Caenorhabditis elegans: one gene and its partners. The protein of the gene in region 2 interacts with the protein of the main gene of each other region in a pairwise test. Each region holds a gene or a part of one and is shown on either strand. Other genes may lie near its edges.

Region 1 (4,976 bases), 5.8 Mb from region 2:
TTTAATGTATTTTTAGAGAAAAATCTGATTTTTTAATGTATTTTTAGAGAAAAATCTGATTTTTTGATATTTTTACTGAAAAATCGGAATAATTTCAATTTTTAATATATTTTTAGAGAAAAATCGGAATTTTCTCGTTTTTTATAAGAAAAATTAGCATTTTTCAATGTTTTTAAATTTTTTTAAAGAAGAAATTGGAATTTTTTCGGTTTTTTAATATATTTTTTGGGAAAAATCGGTTTTTTTTTTTCAATTTTTAATATATTTTCTGCGATTTAATTAGAATATTATCTTCTCTACCTTATTCCGGAAATATTTTCTACATTCAAGGCATAAAAAATGCCGAGAAATTGAAGTCCAGCTCCGTTCCTCTTCGGTTTTTTGTCGCCGCATTCTTTTTTTCTGTTAAAAAAACAATTTTTCGCTGCAATTTCCGTGAAAAGCATTTAAAAATCGTTGAAACGAATGAAAAATTGGAAATTGAACAAAAAAATGGCCAGAAAATCGAATTTTTATGATGAAAAACCGAAAAAATGAGGAAAAAATGAGGAAAAATGAAGAGAAAATAGAAAAATCGATAAATAACAGAGTTCTTCAGTGAGTGGCGAGAGAGTGTGTGAGATGAAGAGACGCAGGGTGTTCGACAGGAGAATTTATTCATAAATCCGCCCAATTAATCGGGTTTCGACCGGAATTTTCGAGCTCCGTGTTGCATTTCGAGAAGCATTTGCATCCCCACCACTTGCGAGCACTCAGCGGAGACGGATGGGCGGTCTGGAAATTTTTTAAAATTTTTTAAAAAATTAAATTTGAGTTTAGTGGAAATATTTTTAAAATACGCTAAAAAATAGGTTTTTTTTTTCACAAAAATCAAAAATTTTGCGATTTTCCACGTCTGAAACCAATCAATTTTTCCCTTTGAAATTAATTTAAATTTTGGTGGAAAATGTCAAAAATTGCCAGAAAAACTTTAAAAAATTCAAGAATTTCCCACAAAATTGTAGTAAAATTGTCAATTTTCAGTTAAAAACCAAAAAAAAAAACAAGATTCTCCAGGTTTTGCTCCAAATTTGCTCCTTGTTTAAAATATCTATGTGAAAAATTGGAAAAAAAAGTCCCTTTTATTGTAGAAAATCGACGATTTTCAAACGCGCGCCAGACATTGAAGCGCGCTGTGTCTTGTGCCGATTTACGAGCCAGCTTTCAGCTTTTTATTCATTTTTATCGGTTTTTTTCGTTGAAAATTGTGTATTTTCGAGCCAATTGAACATTTTATGATCAGAAAACCGCGAAAATTTCCTATTTTTAGATGAAAAAGGAGGTAAATTCAGAGAAAATCGGAATTTTTTGAGTTTTTAAAGAGAAAATTGGAGTTTTTAAATAGAAATTTTCTCGAATTTTTTTTTCGATTAAAAAACAATTTCTGTTTTTCGATTTTTCTCTGAAAAAATAGAAAAAAAAAATTTTAATTTTCTCTTTTAAAAAATCGAAAAAATTCTAATTTTCTCCTTAAAAATTTCAAAAAAATTCCGATTTTCTCTTTTAAAAAATGGAAAAAATTCCGATTTTCTCTGGAAAACTATATGAAAAAATGGAAAAAATTCCGATTTTCTTTGAAAAAATCGAAAATATTCCGATTTTCTCTAAAAAATCAAAAAAAAAATCGAAAAAATTCCGATTTTCTTTGAAAAAAATTAAAAAAAACGAAAAAATTCCGATTTTCTCTGGAAAGAAATAGAAAAATTCCGGTTTTCTATTTAAAAAAAAAAAGAAGAAAAATTCCGATTTTCTTTGAAAAAATCGAAAAAATTCGGTTTTTTTTCTCTGAATTTAAATCATTTTCCATCTAAAAATAAGGAAATTTTGCGAGTTTTATAATAATAAAATGTTCAAAAAACCGAAAAAAAAAATGAAGAAACAGCAAAAAATTGGCTTTAAAAAAACAAATCTCGTAAATCGACACAACACGGTGCGTTCCAATGAGAATCGTCTCTGGCTCTCTGGCGCGCGTTTGAAAATCGTCGATTTTCTACAATAAAAGGGACGTTTTTTTCCAATTTTTCACATAGATATTCGGAATCAGGGGAAAATTTAGAGCAAACCCCTGAATTTTTTTTAGTTTTTAACTGAAAAGTGACAATTTTACTACCATTTTATGGGAAAATCTTGAATTTTTTTCTAGGTTTTCTGGCAATTTTTACCTAAATTTCCAGCAAAATCGCAAAATTTCCGATTTTACAGGTGAAAATCGGCAATTTTTGTCGTTTTCCAACACATTTTTAGGGAAAAAATCTTAAAATCAACTTTTCCATGCTTTTTCCAGAATTCTATCCAGAAAAATAATGACCTTTATAACTACATGTTTCTTTGTATCAATCAGTTCTTCCTTCTTATGAGCAAATCCTCCCCATAACAAAAAGACAATAGGCTTCTCCGATTGTCGCGAAATAATCCGAATAACAGTGTCCGTGAAAGTTTGCCAGCCGATCTTCGCGTGAGAATTCGCCTCGTGAGCCCGAACCGTCAACGTGGCATTCAACATGAACACTCCCTGACGTGTCCAGCCGAGCAGGTTCCCGTGATCGGGCCGCTTGAAGCCTTCAATATCGGATTCAAGCTCTTTATAGATATTTTTCAGCGATGGCGGCGGTTTTACACCCTTCTGAACACTGAAGGAGAGCCCGTGAGCTTGATTATCATCGTGATAGGGGTCTTGACCGATGATAACCACGCTGATCTCGTCGAATGGCAGAAGATTGAATGTTGTGAAAATTTGTGTGGGCGGTGGGAACACTTGCTTGCCCTTGTTCACTTCGGAATTCAAGAATTTCTCGATTTTCGAAATATAGCCTTTTTTGAATTCCTCCTCTAAAAGTTTCGACCAAGATTCACCGGTTAGCAGGGATTTTAGCAGAATTTCAGTTGGTTCTGGTGCTTGTAACTTCATTTTCTTGACTTCTTGATTTTCATTGCCCGCGGGAACTTTTTCCGGAATATTTTCAGTATTTGAAGCGGATTTTCTGAAATTTCGGTGGTTTTTTTTGAATTTTCAGAGCGGGAAATACCGTTTAGAGGCAGCGGATGCTTTGAGGAACATGTCCGGAATTCTTACAGTCTTCGACATTCTGAAATAAACGGAAATCTAGAAGAAAAAAAAAGAATTTTTATTCAAAAAACACGAGTGGAAATGAGATAAAATAAACCTGAGGGCATAGATAAGGATATTTGAAAAATTAAATCACAAAAATGGGAAATTATTCGAGTTATTTGCAGGCAAACCGGTGAATTCGTAACCTGAAAATGAAGAAAATCGATAAAAATCATTTAATTTCGCATTGACTACGGTAGGTAATTGTGTGCACTTTTGCGTGGCGGTGTATGCACAGAATTGATTTTTAAAAAAAATTAATTTTTTTTTAAATTTTAAAATTAATTTATTGAATTTTTCGACGATTTTCTTGAACTTTTCTCACACATTTTTGTGCAAAAACTCTTATTTTCAAACTTTCAGACTCAAAACGCACTGGAAAATCATTAGAAATGGCACCGAAGAAGAAAATGGTAATTTTTATGGCGAAAATTACTTGAAACAGACAAAAAAATCCGAATTATCGAAAAAAAGGACTCTCCCGCCGAAATGTCTCGTTTGAATGGGGTGGCGGCAGCTAGGCCGTGGTTGCACGCGGTCACGTCCAGATGGTCGATAATATTGGCGTTATTGGAGGAGTACGGGGGTTTTTAATGTATAATAATAAGAATAATAATTCAAAAAAAGTGCACTTTCGGACGCTGCAGCACGGAAAAGTGGCCAAAATTAGAGATTTTAGTTAAAATTAGCGCTTTTTTTTTCGAAATTTTGATTTTTTTTTTCACAATTTTCACAATTCCTTTAAAGGTGGGGTAGCGCTAGTGGGGAAATTGCTTTAAAACATGCCTATGGTACCACAATGACCGAATTTCATGATAAAAAATTCAAAAAAAAATTTATAAATTTTATATGATTTTTTGAAAATTGAAAAAATCACAGTTTTCCCCTAATTCCTATTTGAATTACCGCCAATTGAATTTGTTCGATGGGGCGCGCTTGCACGTTTTTAAATTTATTTATTTTATTTTTTGTTATTTTCCACCGATTTTTAATGTTTTCGGTGTATTTTTGCTCGAATTTTAGAGAAAAAATCAACATAAATGCAAATTTTCGATTAAAAAGCACGCTTACAGGCGTAAAAATGAAAAAGTAACGCTTTTAAACGATTTCGAACCTGAATTAATTAATTTCACTGATTTACGCCTGTAAGCGCACTTTTTAATCGAAAATTTGCATTTATTTTGACTTTTTCTCTAAAATTCGAGCAAAAATACACCGAAAACATTAAAAATCGGTGGAAAATAACAAAAAATAAAATAAATAAATTTAAAAACGTGCAAGCGCGCCCCATCGAACAAATTCAATTGGCGGTAATTCAAATAGGAATTAGGGGAAAACTGTGATTTTTCCAATTTTCAAAAAATCATATAAAATTTAGAAAAAATTTTTGAATTTTTTAATCATGATATTCGGTCATTGTGGTACCATAGGCGTATTTTAAAGCAATTTCCCCACAAAGCGTAGTCCACCTTTAAAATTTTTTGGCACATTTTTCTCAATTCCTTTTAAAAAATGTACCTTGATTCTGAAATCCAGGCTGCTGAGAAACCGTGTCAAACCCTCTGCCAACAAGATTATCCATGTATCCAGTGGTTCCACCGCCGTACCCATATCCATTGCCGAATCCATTGTTGTAGGTCCAACTACCAGGCTGATTTTGAAACTGGAACTGCTGGAAATTGTTGTTGGCTGCGAAGCTTTCTGTCGGAGGATTCGGCGTTGTTTCAAAAACGATATTCGGCTTCGGCTCAGGCTTCTTCCTCGGCGGCCTTTTTCTCTTCGGCTTCGGGATCGTCGCTGTTCCGTCAGCTACTACAGTTTCCACGTC
Region 2 (3,319 bases):
GCTCCTGGAGCATTTGCGGAGCTGATGATTTGACGGGTCACTTTTTGAGCCATGTCGAGCACTTTGGTTCTCCTGAACAGTTGTATTAGTCAGTTTTCTTTAGAAATAAGATTGAAAATAAATGAAAAAGTTGACAAAATGCCTCCACCACCACATTTTCTACCAACTAACTTGACCGCATCTTGCTCTGAAGTCTCCTCTGCGCCTGTTTCAGACCGTTTAAGCGCATTTGCAACTGGTGGAAGCATCGGCATTGTTAGAACGGCAAGAAGAACCGAAAAAGAGAAGACGTACATTTTTGAAGGGGTTAAAAGTTGCAAAGAGGAGAAATGAAATGAAACGAAATGAAGAGAAGCGCGACGATATGAGACACCGAGGTCACCCTTATCACCGGCGTGTCGCGTTTATGTAATTGGGGGTTCTGCAACGAAACAGTTTCCTAGACTCCTCCCTTTCGATTTTTGAAAGTACGTTGATTGTAAACTTTAAATATCATTACACTGAAAATAACGAGTAACAATTAACCAACAATTTATTGGGTATGTAACAACAGTTTATTGAACTGGAGCAACTGGTTGAGCTGCTGGGACTTGAACATCCTTCTTCTCCTCCTTGTGCTGGCTGTGTGGTTCCTTTGGAAGGACTTCCTCTTGTGGCTCGACGATTTGGACGTGGTCTGGGAGGGCGTTTCTTGGTCCGTTCTGTCCGCGTGGGTCGTATGGAAGCATGATCTTGACCTTGATACCGATGACTCCTGAAAATAAAAAAATGAAGATGGAAACTTACAAAATAGTAATACAAATTTTTAAACTTGATTTTTAAAATTAAAAAACTGAAAAGCAACATCTAAACTTTTCGAACGACATGTTTTTTGCGATCAAAAATCCTTTCTTAACCAAATCTTCCCCGTAAAAAATCACTGACCCTGACGGAGTTGAACGTGTCTGACGGCTTGTTGGATGTAGTCGTTGACTGGGTGTCCAGAGTGAATCATGAGTCCATCAACGAACTTCATGGCCTTAGCACGCTGTCCACGAAGCTTTCCAGAGACGATAACCTATAATTTTTAATGAATACAAATTCCATATAATACAAGTTTCGAATATTAGATGCAATAAAGTTAAATTTTTTGTCTATTAAAATAAAGTAATCATACCTCAACTCCTTGAGCTCCAGACTCCATGATGAAACGGAGAACTCCGTAGCAAGCACGACGGACGGCAAGACCTCCGACGAGCTTGTATCTGAGGGATTCGCACTGAGCGACAGCGCAGAGTCCTCTGTTGGAAACCTTCTCGGCGTAGAGCTAAAAAGTTAAATGTATTTTATTTTTCAATAAATGTATTTTTACCTCGACGGATCCCTCCTCGAATCCGAATCTCTTTTGGACAACCGAGGTGAGCTCCTTAATTCTGCGTCCTCGCTCTCCCAAAACGTTTTGGGTGCGGGTCGCCATGATGATGACCTCAGCTCTGGCTGGGGTACTGCGAACCTGCAAAACTTGAAGCTTAAATGCTATATTTTTGATTAATAATTTTACCTCGACTCCGGAGTATCCATCCTCAGCAAGCTCCTTCATCAGGAAGTTGTTAAGCTCAGCCTTGAAGATTCCGCCGATGACGGCCTTCTTCTTCTTGGTCACGTTTTGATTGGCAGCCATGTTGCCCACTGTTTGACGAAAGCTGAAAATTTGAATATTAATATTAGCGAAGATATTGATAGAAAAGAGTTATAATCCGAACAAAACACAAGAAATATATTTGAAAAAAAAGTATTTTGGGCAAGGTTTTTGTTAAGAAAACCCTAAATTACGTAACTAAAAACTACATTAATATAAAAACATGTTTTAATACAAAATATACATTGAAACATGTGAATTTTTTCAATTTTTATACAAAACATGTTAAAAATCCAGTTTCACGCGAAAAATTCAAAAATTTCAGGCAAAAATCGAAAAGAAATTTAGTTGCTTTCAACGTTTATCGTTGAAGCGTTGAATACTCAGTCAACGGCCAGGCCAATTGGCTGCGTACGTCACCGCAAGACCATGAGACCGAAAAATGGCATGCGCCTTTAATTGCCTCTTTTTTACCCTAGTCACCGAACGAATTTTTTGAATAATTTCTTCGAAGTTGAACAGTTTTCTTTATTTTTACCAGTTTTTTAATTCTGAACATCTCATTTTCTTTTGAAGTTTGCACTAGTTGTTTGAACTGCTTTGCCTGGTGATTAATCAACTATTTATTGATTTCTTTCTCAATTCCGTTTTTAAGGATCAAACATGGATGAAGAGAAAATTGTGTTAATTGGAAATGAATCAGATCTCCTACACTGTGGATACAATTTTGCACTTAGAGCTGGCGGAAAAAGGTGAGAACTGAAGTGACTTATAGATTGCAACAATGATTAAACTTGCAGATATCCCAGTGCCGCTCACTACACTCATTATCAAATTCTTATGTCTTTAAATCTACCCGAAACGGCAGTTGAAGAACTTTTATGTACGAACAGTTGCGATGTTCACCAAAAAGCGCTTGTTATTCTCCAAGAAAATATGCCAGACGGCCATACAATAAATTCATTGGCAGCATATCTCTCAGAAAGTCTTCGTTCATATTCAATTCATGCACTGCAACTCCGAGCAGAAAGTGATAAAGGTGAGCTTTTATAAGTAAGAAATAGAATCTAATATGCTTGAAAAACATGCAGACTTCGAAAAGACTCTTATGAAGACCAATGAAGCCCTCTTGATTGTCTGTGATGAGAAAAACCCTCAACTTGGTATAGGAATGAACGATAAAACGTTCATGGAGTGGATGGCCAAAGAAAAGGCAGATTCGAGACAAATATCCTACTGGATGAAAAATGAGCACACTAAACCAGCTGATTTGGGTCAAAATAAACTAGGGCAAGAAATATGAGAAACGAGATTTTCTTAAACATTAAAAATTTAGACAATATTTAATGTGGCTGAGGTTTGAGATTCGAGAAAGGAAGAAGCAAGGGATATTGACACGTCCTGTAGTGGAAGTAGCCGGATTATCGACTGATAAAGATGATGAACCAATTATGATTTCAATTAATGATCTTGTAATAAGTTTGGAGGTAAGCATTCAATCATCATGATTTTTTTAAACTATCATCATAATTTCAGGGTATATTCCGACCACTTTCAAACTATTACGCGTTTCCGTTTGAAATGAAACGAGAAAGATATCGATCTGTAGAGCATTACGCATATGAGAAGCTTTTTAATTCGCTGAAACTTGACGAGAAAGCAATTGAGAAAATTCAAACAACACCTGCTCCTCTGAACGTC
Region 3 (5,192 bases), on a different chromosome or scaffold from region 2:
CCCAACTTTCAGATTTCTTACCTTTCATCGCCTAATATATCTAATACATTATCAAATTTCAACTGTAAAATGGATCCAACAATAATCAGAGACAGTCCTCCCACCTGGAAATTTATTTTTTTGTAGCAATTTAATATTGTAATCTACCGTACCCATAATACTAAATTAGCCAGGAATAGAAGATATTTAACTATGGTAACTCCTCCTTCTACCATGATTTGTTATCACGATGTCATTTGAATAAGAAGAGTTTGTAGACGTAGAAGATGTAGAAAAAGACGTTAGTTGGAAAAGGAAACAAGAATGTGAAGAAGAGCAAGAAGGCGACAACACAATTGAGTCGAAGGGGCGGATGCTCCGAACTCCGCCCATTTTGTGGTTGAGAGCAGTTGATACTTCTTCTTCTTCTTCTTTGCCACTTTGTCTCTCTTGAGTCGCGAGCTTTAGGGAATATAAGGAATATTTTGAGACGGGTTTTGATGCAAAGAAGCACCCCTCTGGAGGGCTCCGATAAAATCTAAAAGTTTTGGTGCTCAAATTCATCACTAAAAAAATTTGAGAAAACAAACACACAAGAATAGAATGGGAGTTTAGGGAAATAACAAAAAAAAAAGAAAACAGCTGGAACAGAAGAACAAGTGTGGAGATGATGGAAAGCGAAATTTTGGGTCAAGAAACAAGAAACAGGCAACAAATTAATTTGAATAGAATTTGAATTGAAGTGACTAGATTGGGCGAGCCTTGATCTGTCCGATACGTCCTTTCGCAAGCTGAAAAGATTATTTTAATTGAGAGGTTTAAAAGTGCCGGCAAAAAATTGTTTTAAAAAATTTCTTAGCATTATTACCGAGTTAATTGAAGCATCAATAATTTGAAAAAAAATCGAACAATTTTTTTTTACATTTTTTTTTCAAATTTTGTTGATGCCGATGAGGAACAAAAACCATAAATATTATTGTCTTCAATAGAAGAAAAATTACCAACATTTTAATTTTCTTAAAATAAAAAAAGCGGCACGCTTGGTGCATGGCTGTCGTGTTTTTTTTGTTGTTTTTTCGGACCAATAAAACAAAAAAAGGGAGAGGGGAAAAATTCGATATTTTTTTGTTTTTTTTTGGCTCAAAAGGTTTTTTGGTGACTCCCATGGTTGTGAGTGTGAAAATATTTTCTTTTAGTTGTTTCATACTTTTTCAATATGAAATATGAAAAATTACCTTTCGTTTCTCCTCGGCGAACATAGTCTTGTTAGCCTTTTTCTCAACTCTTCTCAGCTTTCTGGCCTCTTTTACAGCTTTTTTCCGCAGACTTCTCTGTTCCGGAGTTTCATTTTTTGGTCGGAAAGTAGAAACAGTTGAAAAAACGCTTTCCTTATCATCATCATCCTCCATATCCTCATCATCATCTTCATCTTCTTCAGCAATATCCATCTCTTCAACAGCTTTATCGAATCGTTTCAATGCCTTTCTGGATAAACCACGTGGCTCCTTGATGAGTGTCGGATGATTGTAGATATTAGTGTATTGAGTAGCAAATGATTCACAATCCCATTTCATTTTCTTATTTGTACCCTCATCCACTTCCACAATCTCGTATTCTTCTTTGTCTTTGATGACTCCCTCTTCAATGAGACGCATTCGTTCACGTACATAATGCTTGGCGAGCTGTAAAATTAAATGATGAATGAAAATAATTCTTTTGAAAAGTACTACCTCTTCATCATACTCTGCATTTGAAGGTCCTTTGTCATTTATAAGTTTGTGAAGTCGTCCAGCGTTCGGTTCAAGTGCTCCTCCAACATCATAGTCGTCACCATCAAGCTCTCCGATCTGAAAATTAATTCATTTTTTAAAACTGGGTCAGATTAAATCTCAAAAATAATAAATAAAAGTAGAATGTTTTCTGGTAACACATAATTTTCTTGAAGTTTATTTTTCATAAAAATGAGTTTATTTAGAGGAAACCGAAAGATTGAAAAATTTTTTGAGAAAACTAAAAAATGTATGTTTCATTAAATCAAGTCTTGTTTATGTTGAAGATTATTTTATTCTAAAAAGAGGAAAACTTGCCAAAACTTAAAGAATTTTCCGAAAAAAAAACTAAAAAACGATAATTTTCGATTTTTTAATTTTTAAAAATTAAAAAATTTTCAATTTTCAATTTTCGATTTTACTGGAAATCTAAATTTTTTCGTTTTCTATGAAAAGCCGATAAGCGAAAAATTTGATTTTTTTAAAAGTTTTTTTTTGATTTTCCGGAAAACCAAAAAATCTAAGAACAATTTTTTAAAAAAAATCTAGTCAAAAAATCATTTTTTTTTAAATCAAGTCTTTCTTATGGTAAAGAGAAAAAATTAAAAACATATCCTTTCATTCTAAAGAGAGGAAAAATGGCGAAAATTTATGGCATTTTTCGAAAACTGTTCGATTTTTAAATAAGTTTAATTATCATATTTTTCAAGCCAATAATTCTGAAATAATACCTGATCGGTGTTGTATTCACGATCCATGAGTTCTTCAAAAGCATTATCAATAACTCTTTGATCAGCTCTTTCAACTCTAATCTCTCCAACAGCCTCTTCTCCAAATAACTCGTCATCATTATAATCATCATACATCTCATCGTCTTCATCGTCATCCTCTTCTTCTTCCGAATCTTCACCTCGTCTTGTACTTCTATAAACTGTAGTTCTTTCATCAAGAAGACCACCAGCAAGTGTGATAAAATTATCTTCAAGTTCTCCGGTGTTACGATCATCTGTCACCTCTTCCAACGCATTTGCAACATCTTCGTCAAAAAATTCCGGTTTCTTAAGAGCACCGACAAGTCCGAAAAGTGGTGGAGCTGGTGGGAATGCTGATGAACCACTCGTTTTGATGGTCGTTTTCTCGACTTCTTCATGAACATTTTCCAGCTTCATCGGCTGAAAATTTAAATGATTATTTTACCAATACAAGAAGATTGTTTTTCGATTATGTTCTAAAAGAGGTGATCGAAAAATTGTTTTTTTTTTGATTTTCCGTAATATGGAAAACTTTTTTTTAATCATCCATAAAATTCAATTTTATGAAATAATGTAAAAAATGCTGATTAAAAAAACATAGAAATTTTTTACTTAAAAGAAGTACAAAGACCAAAATTTTAAGCTATTTTTTGACATATCCTAAAATCTTTTGATTTCATTGAAAAATCGAAAAACAAACACTTTTTTTTAAGTTTCGGTATTTGATCAAATTGATTTTAAGATGACAAACCTCATTAACAGCTCGCATGTGCTGCAAATAATCATAATCATCGTCGTAGTAGACTCCATACTTTTGCTGTTCCTCCAAATGTTCTTGAGTTGGCTTGAATCGTTCACTTCTTTCCCTATTATCCGGAACCAATCGAAAACTTTGACTGGCTTTCTTATCAATGAATGCCTTCCTTTTACCCATTTTGAGGCGAAATTTATGTTTCCAGTAACCTGAAATATGAATTCTATGTTAATTTTTTGTTACTTTTATTGTTGGATCTGAGAAAATAACTGATTGGACAGAACCGGGGCTCATAAAAAATTACTTAAAATTGGACGAATCAAATTAAATATTTCATTAAAATAATATCCGGCAACCCAATATAAATAATTAGCAAAAACAAAACAGTATGGAAAGAGTATAACTTAAACACTACTAACCGGAAACGAAAAATGAGAGCTTTAAAGTTCAGATCTCACACTGAACAAGGAAAAGTGGGAAAGGGTGGGGGATTACCAAAAAAACTGATCAATTAAATAAAAGATTCAACAAGTATTGGCGCCTGCAAAAAGTTTTTGAGACTAATTGCAGGCGCCATGAAAGGCGTATTAGCGGGTTCCACGAATGGGAGAGACGATTGAAAAATGGATATTTAGAAGGCTCGTGGCTTTTGAGGATGACGACGTTGCTGACCACCTTGAGATCCCCAATTTCCTCGCTTTCCGTCTTGTCCTTGTCCTCCACGTCGTTCTCCTTGGTATCCACCAGATCCTTTCTGCTTATCTCCTTGCCGCTCGTTCCTTCCTGGAAACCACGATCCTGGACCTTGATAACCACCACGTCCAGTGCGCGGCTCCAGAATTTGTTCATTGTTTTCGGCAAGAGTTTGAAGTTTGTCAGACAAGTTGAGAGCAAGCATTTGAAGTCTGGAAGGTTCAACACGGTGCATGATGAGACAGTCGGTGGGCTCGTCAAGTGTAGCCGAAAGTTCCTCTTGGATGATCATTTTACTGAAAAAATAAAAAAAAATTATGTACTGTCTAGTAAAATATTACAAATACCTGATGATGCTATGAACATCTTTCTTTGAAAGTTCGAACAAATCCGCAAGCTTCTTGAGCGAAACAGTGGCATAAACTGTAGAGTATGTGAGCAAATAAGTTCTGAGAGATTCCTCTTGAATACGTCTCACAACCATTCCCTTAACAGTCTCAGCGTTATGGAAAAGATTCCAGACCTTCTGGTTCATCTTGTCATTGACGATATAGTCTTGACACTTTTTCCAATCTCCATTCAACATTGCTTTCGATGCGGCGACAACATGTTCACGGGTATTCTCTGGTGGTCCAGTGAGAGAAGCTTTCTCGCTTTGCTTCAATTGGTAATGGAAACTTCTGCTGAGCATACGACGACGCATTTCGAATTCGCAACTAGCCATGTGTGGAATTTCGAGAAGCATCGAACAGATCAGATAGACACACTCCATAAGTTCAACATTGATGTGCATATGATATGGAACTTGACGGGAACGATCAATCTTCTCTTGTTCAGCAGTCTTTTCGTGCTGACGAGTTCCAACAGCTTGAGCAAGCAACTCCTTGGCACGTTGGGTATTTTGAATTTCAGATAGTCCTTGATGAGCTTCGCGAATGAAACCGTGTCGGAAAGCGCAGAGACCGAGTTGGCAGATAGTTCTGTTGTAGAGGATTTGAGTGTCGACATCAGAATGATCAACGATAGCTTGCATGTGACTCATAAGAAGAAGATCTCTGGCGCGGTGCCACTTGTCATGAACAGCCAGATAGTAAACATGGCAGAGCATAGCACGTTGTCTCAATCGTTTCTCATCATCAAGTGTATAGATCTTATTACACAAGTAATCCATCAACTTTCCAGCATCCTCCTCATTTTGATCTTGATATTTGTAGTAGGCATGCTCGATGCGCATCATGTACACTT
Region 4 (3,673 bases), on a different chromosome or scaffold from region 2:
ATTACTGTTTTTTGAGTGAAAATGTGTGACCAGTAAGGCATGAGCAGCTGTTCCAAGTTGTTTGAATTAAAATACTTTTAAAATTAAAAAAAACTGGATTTCTCGGTATCCCTTTAAATCTTATAGTTAGTCCCCCTGTTTTAAAATTCAATATACCAAAAATGTTTAGTTCAACACACGAGCCTCAGCTGGAGCGTTTTATTTTTCAATTAAAGTTTTACGAATGCTACTATTTCACGAGAGAAACCAGAATTTACAAAAACAATTTCTGAAAAAAAAACTCACCTTCGCCAAATTCGAGTGTCCCTTTAAAACTTCGAGATTCGCATTTGGATTCGGCTCAGAGACGGGCGTCTTCCATACGGGCTTAACCGCAATAATCGGCCCAAAAACCGCGAAAATCACGGGGAAACATGAGAGTAAGGGCCTCATCAGGCCCACGTTTTAGGCCTCTAGTTTTTGTCCGAGATTTAGGAAAACAATACGGGAGAAAACAAGAACAACAGGGAGGCAAAGAAGTGAGGAAACGGGTGAGGGGGGAGAATGGACATTCCAACATTATTAGATCGATTTAAGCGATATCGTCTGGTTATGATCGACGGAAATCCCTTTTGAATAGACGCTTTTTAAGGAGGGGAAACAGAAATGAAAACTGAGAAAATCGGGAATGAGGGAAAGTGACGGCAGGAAATGAGACTAAATTGGTCATCGATGTGTTGAAATTCTGGATTTTTTTTCGGTTTTGAAAATCTGCTGAATAGAAGATATTTTATTTGAAACAACACAGTTCAGTTATGTTATCGAGAAAAAAAATTACTGAATATAAACTTTACACTAGAAAGATGAAATTAAACATTTTTGCGTCAAATTTTCAATTAAAAATAATTGAAAACTAAACTTTAAAGCCGTTGTAACACCTTATACAGCAATTTTTTATGCAAAATTTTTCACAAATATTTGTTCAATTAATACATATTTATGTTTGAAAACATTAAAATTTTCCATGCCAACTAGATGTACTAGTTGACCACCAGGCGCGCCTCTCGATTCTCTCCCGATTCCGTTTTCTAAAGACCAATTCTAACACCGCCGCCGTGGCCTCCTTAGCTCAGTTGGTAGAGCGTGAGACTTTTAATCTTAAGGTCAGGGGTTCGAGTCCCCTAGGTGGCTTGATTTTTTTGTTTTTTTTTTCATTGTTGAAAAATTGTTTCTTTCTCAATTTTTTTCAAAAGGAATGGGCCGAACCGGGGATTGAACCCGGGACCTCTCGCACCCAAAGCGAGAATCATACCACTAGACCATTCGGCCACGAGAGACATGCTTCACGGAGGTATACACAATTGAGAGGAACAGAGATAGCGCTGGCCAGAGGAGAGTGTAATGCAAATAAACGATTATGGGGAATGAATAATAAATTGAGAATTTAATTCTGTTTTACTTCAAACTTATATATTTATTTCAAAAATAACTGAACAAACATGAATAACTCTGATTAAGAACCAGTTTTCCTCCATCATGCTCAACAAACAAACAAAAGATAAGTTGATTTATCGGGTCAATGAAAAATGCAAACATTGTAAACTTTTGATTAGGATTTTCAAGAAAAAAAAACGTGTCTAACTAGAAACAAAAGTGTAGGTTGGTAAACAACATGAAAAAGTATAAAAGTGGCAAGAATTACACGGGGTATACTCACAGAATCCCATTGAGCGATGCGTTGTGTGATTATATTGTTTGCAGTTGCTTTGGCTGTGGCTCAGGTTAGTTTTTCAATTTTAAACTAATTGTAAGGAATTTGAAAATTTATAATTTCTAAGTGCTGAGAGAAAGCCTAATAATTGTATTTTCTTTTCGCAATTTCGTGTTAACAAAACTACTTGAAATGTGAATTGGCGCTTTAACGACTGTTTTTGAACCTCTTCGAATTTCAATTTTCGACATCATTAACTGAAAAATCTCCTTTTTTAGAGTAATATCTGTATTCCCGTATATGGAAGTAGACCGACCCTGTTTTAATGTGGGCCGATAAAAATCTCGTAGTGACGTTTAAAATTGATAGAAGCATTCCAATTAACGACGTGTTTCTCAACTCAATTTGATTTCAGGCCTCCTCAATCCGCGAAACCCGTCAAGCCTCCTGCGGATGTGCTCAATCGGTTCAGCCGACCTGCTCCTGCCAGCAGGCCTCACAACAATACAGCTGCTCCTGCCAACCTTCAACTCCATGCTCTTGCGCCAGCAGCCAGCAATATCAATTGCAGACGTCTCAATGCATGCCTGCTTGTCAACAGTCCTGCAGTCAACAGTGCCAATCTAACACCAACACTCAATGCCAGCCAACGTGTCAGCAATCCTGCCAGACATCGTCTTGCAATCCGATGACTTCCACACCAATTCCAGCGTCGCAAAGTTGTCTTCCAGAGTGTGAGAACCGATGCATGCAGCAGTGTACTCAACAGCAGACCGCGCAACAGTGCCAGCCAATTTGTCAGCAGCAGTGCCAGCAGGAATGTGGGTCCACAGGAAATATGATGTACAATAATCAGGATCCGTATAATCAAATGCAGTATGGAGGGTACAATCAGCAAGGAAATCAGTACCAGAACCAAAATCAGTACCAAAATCCAAACCAGATCCAAAATCAGTACAACCAGAACCAGTACCAAAACCAAAACTACTACAACCCTTACCAACAAACTCAATGCCAACAACAATGTGCTCCACAATGCTCTCAACAAACTTCCACCAACTGCCAGCAGTGTCAGAACTCCTGCCAGAACAGCAACACTCAAACCATAACCATCTACGTGCAAGCCTCCCCACAGACCTCCCAATGTGTTCCCCAGTGCCAGCAACAATGCCAACAGCAGTGCCAAACTAGAACCACGGCCTCCCAACAGTGTGCTCCAGCTTGCTCGACATCCTGCAATCAATCCTGTAATCAGCCGGCCCAAATGGCATGTCAACCAATGCAAAATAGTCAGTGCGGATGTCAACAAAACTATTCGCCGTGCGGAAATGTCTCCGGGCAGTGTTGTTTGAAGAAGTAAAATTCTTGAAGATTGTATTTCTGTAAATCTAGGAAATGATGAATAAATGTTTCTCACTACCAGTTTTTTTGTTAAATGGGTCCTTTCAAAAGTGCTGAAGCTAATAAATTTGGTACCTGGTATTCACACAACATTTTTTGTTGAATGGAAAAAAGGTGGATGTACCTTTAAAGAGTACTGTAGTTTCGAGCTCTGTTTTTCAGGAATAATCATTTCGAGACCCGGAAAAACAATTAGAAATATTAAGAAAACTATTGTTGTATTGAAATTATGTTGATAAGATTTTATAGAAGATGACCGAAAATGTTTTAAAATTTATAATTGATTAGTATTTTTCGAATTTTTGTTTTCAGAATCAAGGAAAAATCGAAAACTCGACCCACTTGGTCCCTGTTGTTTGTTCTGCTACTACGTAGTAGTTGAGTGAGAGCAAGAAGAGGTGAAAAGTGCATTGAGAAAAAGAGACAAAAAGTTACCCCTTCAAATGCATATCGCTACATATATATAAATAGATGTCCAACTTTTTTCGCACTTTTCAATGAAAAGAAGGGGAAAGTTTATTAGTAATTTTTTTGAATTTTGAAATGTATATTTTTAGGTAGGAAATTTTCGATTTTTTAAAT

The links.
Region 1: the proteins of rps-3 (region 2) and ung-1 interact in a two-hybrid assay, tested with the Caenorhabditis elegans proteins (one study listed by BioGRID).
Region 3: the proteins of rps-3 (region 2) and T23D8.3 interact in a two-hybrid assay, tested with the Caenorhabditis elegans proteins (2 studies listed by BioGRID).
Region 4: the proteins of rps-3 (region 2) and pqn-71 interact in a two-hybrid assay, tested with the Caenorhabditis elegans proteins (one study listed by BioGRID).

The regions. Positions count from the first base shown.
Region 1 is NC_003281.10:11,970,966-11,975,941, forward strand, and holds ung-1 (Uracil-DNA glycosylase), read right to left. Parts: upstream 3,126-4,976; 5' UTR 3,125-3,125; coding exon 3,066-3,124; intron 3,021-3,065; coding exon 2,348-3,020; intron 775-2,347; coding exon 658-774; 3' UTR 502-657; downstream 1-501. Other genes in the region: Y56A3A.28 (C2H2-type domain-containing protein), read right to left, coding at 301-393; Y56A3A.30 (SP-RING-type domain-containing protein), read right to left, coding at 3,239-3,294, 4,667-4,976; Y56A3A.31 (SOSS complex subunit A homolog), read left to right, coding at 3,541-3,561. UniProt on the Caenorhabditis elegans protein: Excises uracil residues from the DNA which can arise as a result of misincorporation of dUMP residues by DNA polymerase or due to deamination of cytosine.
Region 2 is NC_003281.10:6,205,166-6,208,484, reverse strand, and holds rps-3 (Small ribosomal subunit protein uS3), read right to left. Parts: upstream 1,683-3,319; 5' UTR 1,661-1,682; coding exon 1,541-1,660; intron 1,493-1,540; coding exon 1,352-1,492; intron 1,307-1,351; coding exon 1,157-1,306; intron 1,058-1,156; coding exon 925-1,057; intron 755-924; coding exon 555-754; 3' UTR 520-554; downstream 1-519. Other genes in the region: RutC family protein C23G10.2, read right to left, coding at 1-72, 172-254; sna-3 (NADAR domain-containing protein), read left to right, coding at 2,282-2,370, 2,419-2,657, 2,710-2,908, 2,955-3,105, 3,155-3,319.
Region 3 is NC_003279.8:9,972,853-9,978,044, forward strand, and holds T23D8.3 (Protein LTV1 homolog), read right to left. Parts: upstream 3,464-5,192; 5' UTR 3,435-3,463; coding exon 3,252-3,434; intron 2,921-3,251; coding exon 2,480-2,920; intron 1,827-2,479; coding exon 1,710-1,826; intron 1,662-1,709; coding exon 1,215-1,661; intron 771-1,214; coding exon 726-770; 3' UTR 529-725; downstream 1-528. Other genes in the region: tsp-7 (Tetraspanin), read right to left, coding at 22-104, 153-215; eif-3.C (Eukaryotic translation initiation factor 3 subunit C), read right to left, coding at 3,886-4,243, 4,295-5,192.
Region 4 is NC_003283.11:15,463,989-15,467,661, forward strand, and holds pqn-71 (Prion-like-(Q/N-rich)-domain-bearing protein), read left to right. Parts: upstream 1-1,688; 5' UTR 1,689-1,712; coding exon 1,713-1,760; intron 1,761-2,105; coding exon 2,106-3,050; 3' UTR 3,051-3,112; downstream 3,113-3,673. Other genes in the region: rocf-1 (ZP domain-containing protein), read right to left, coding at 286-432.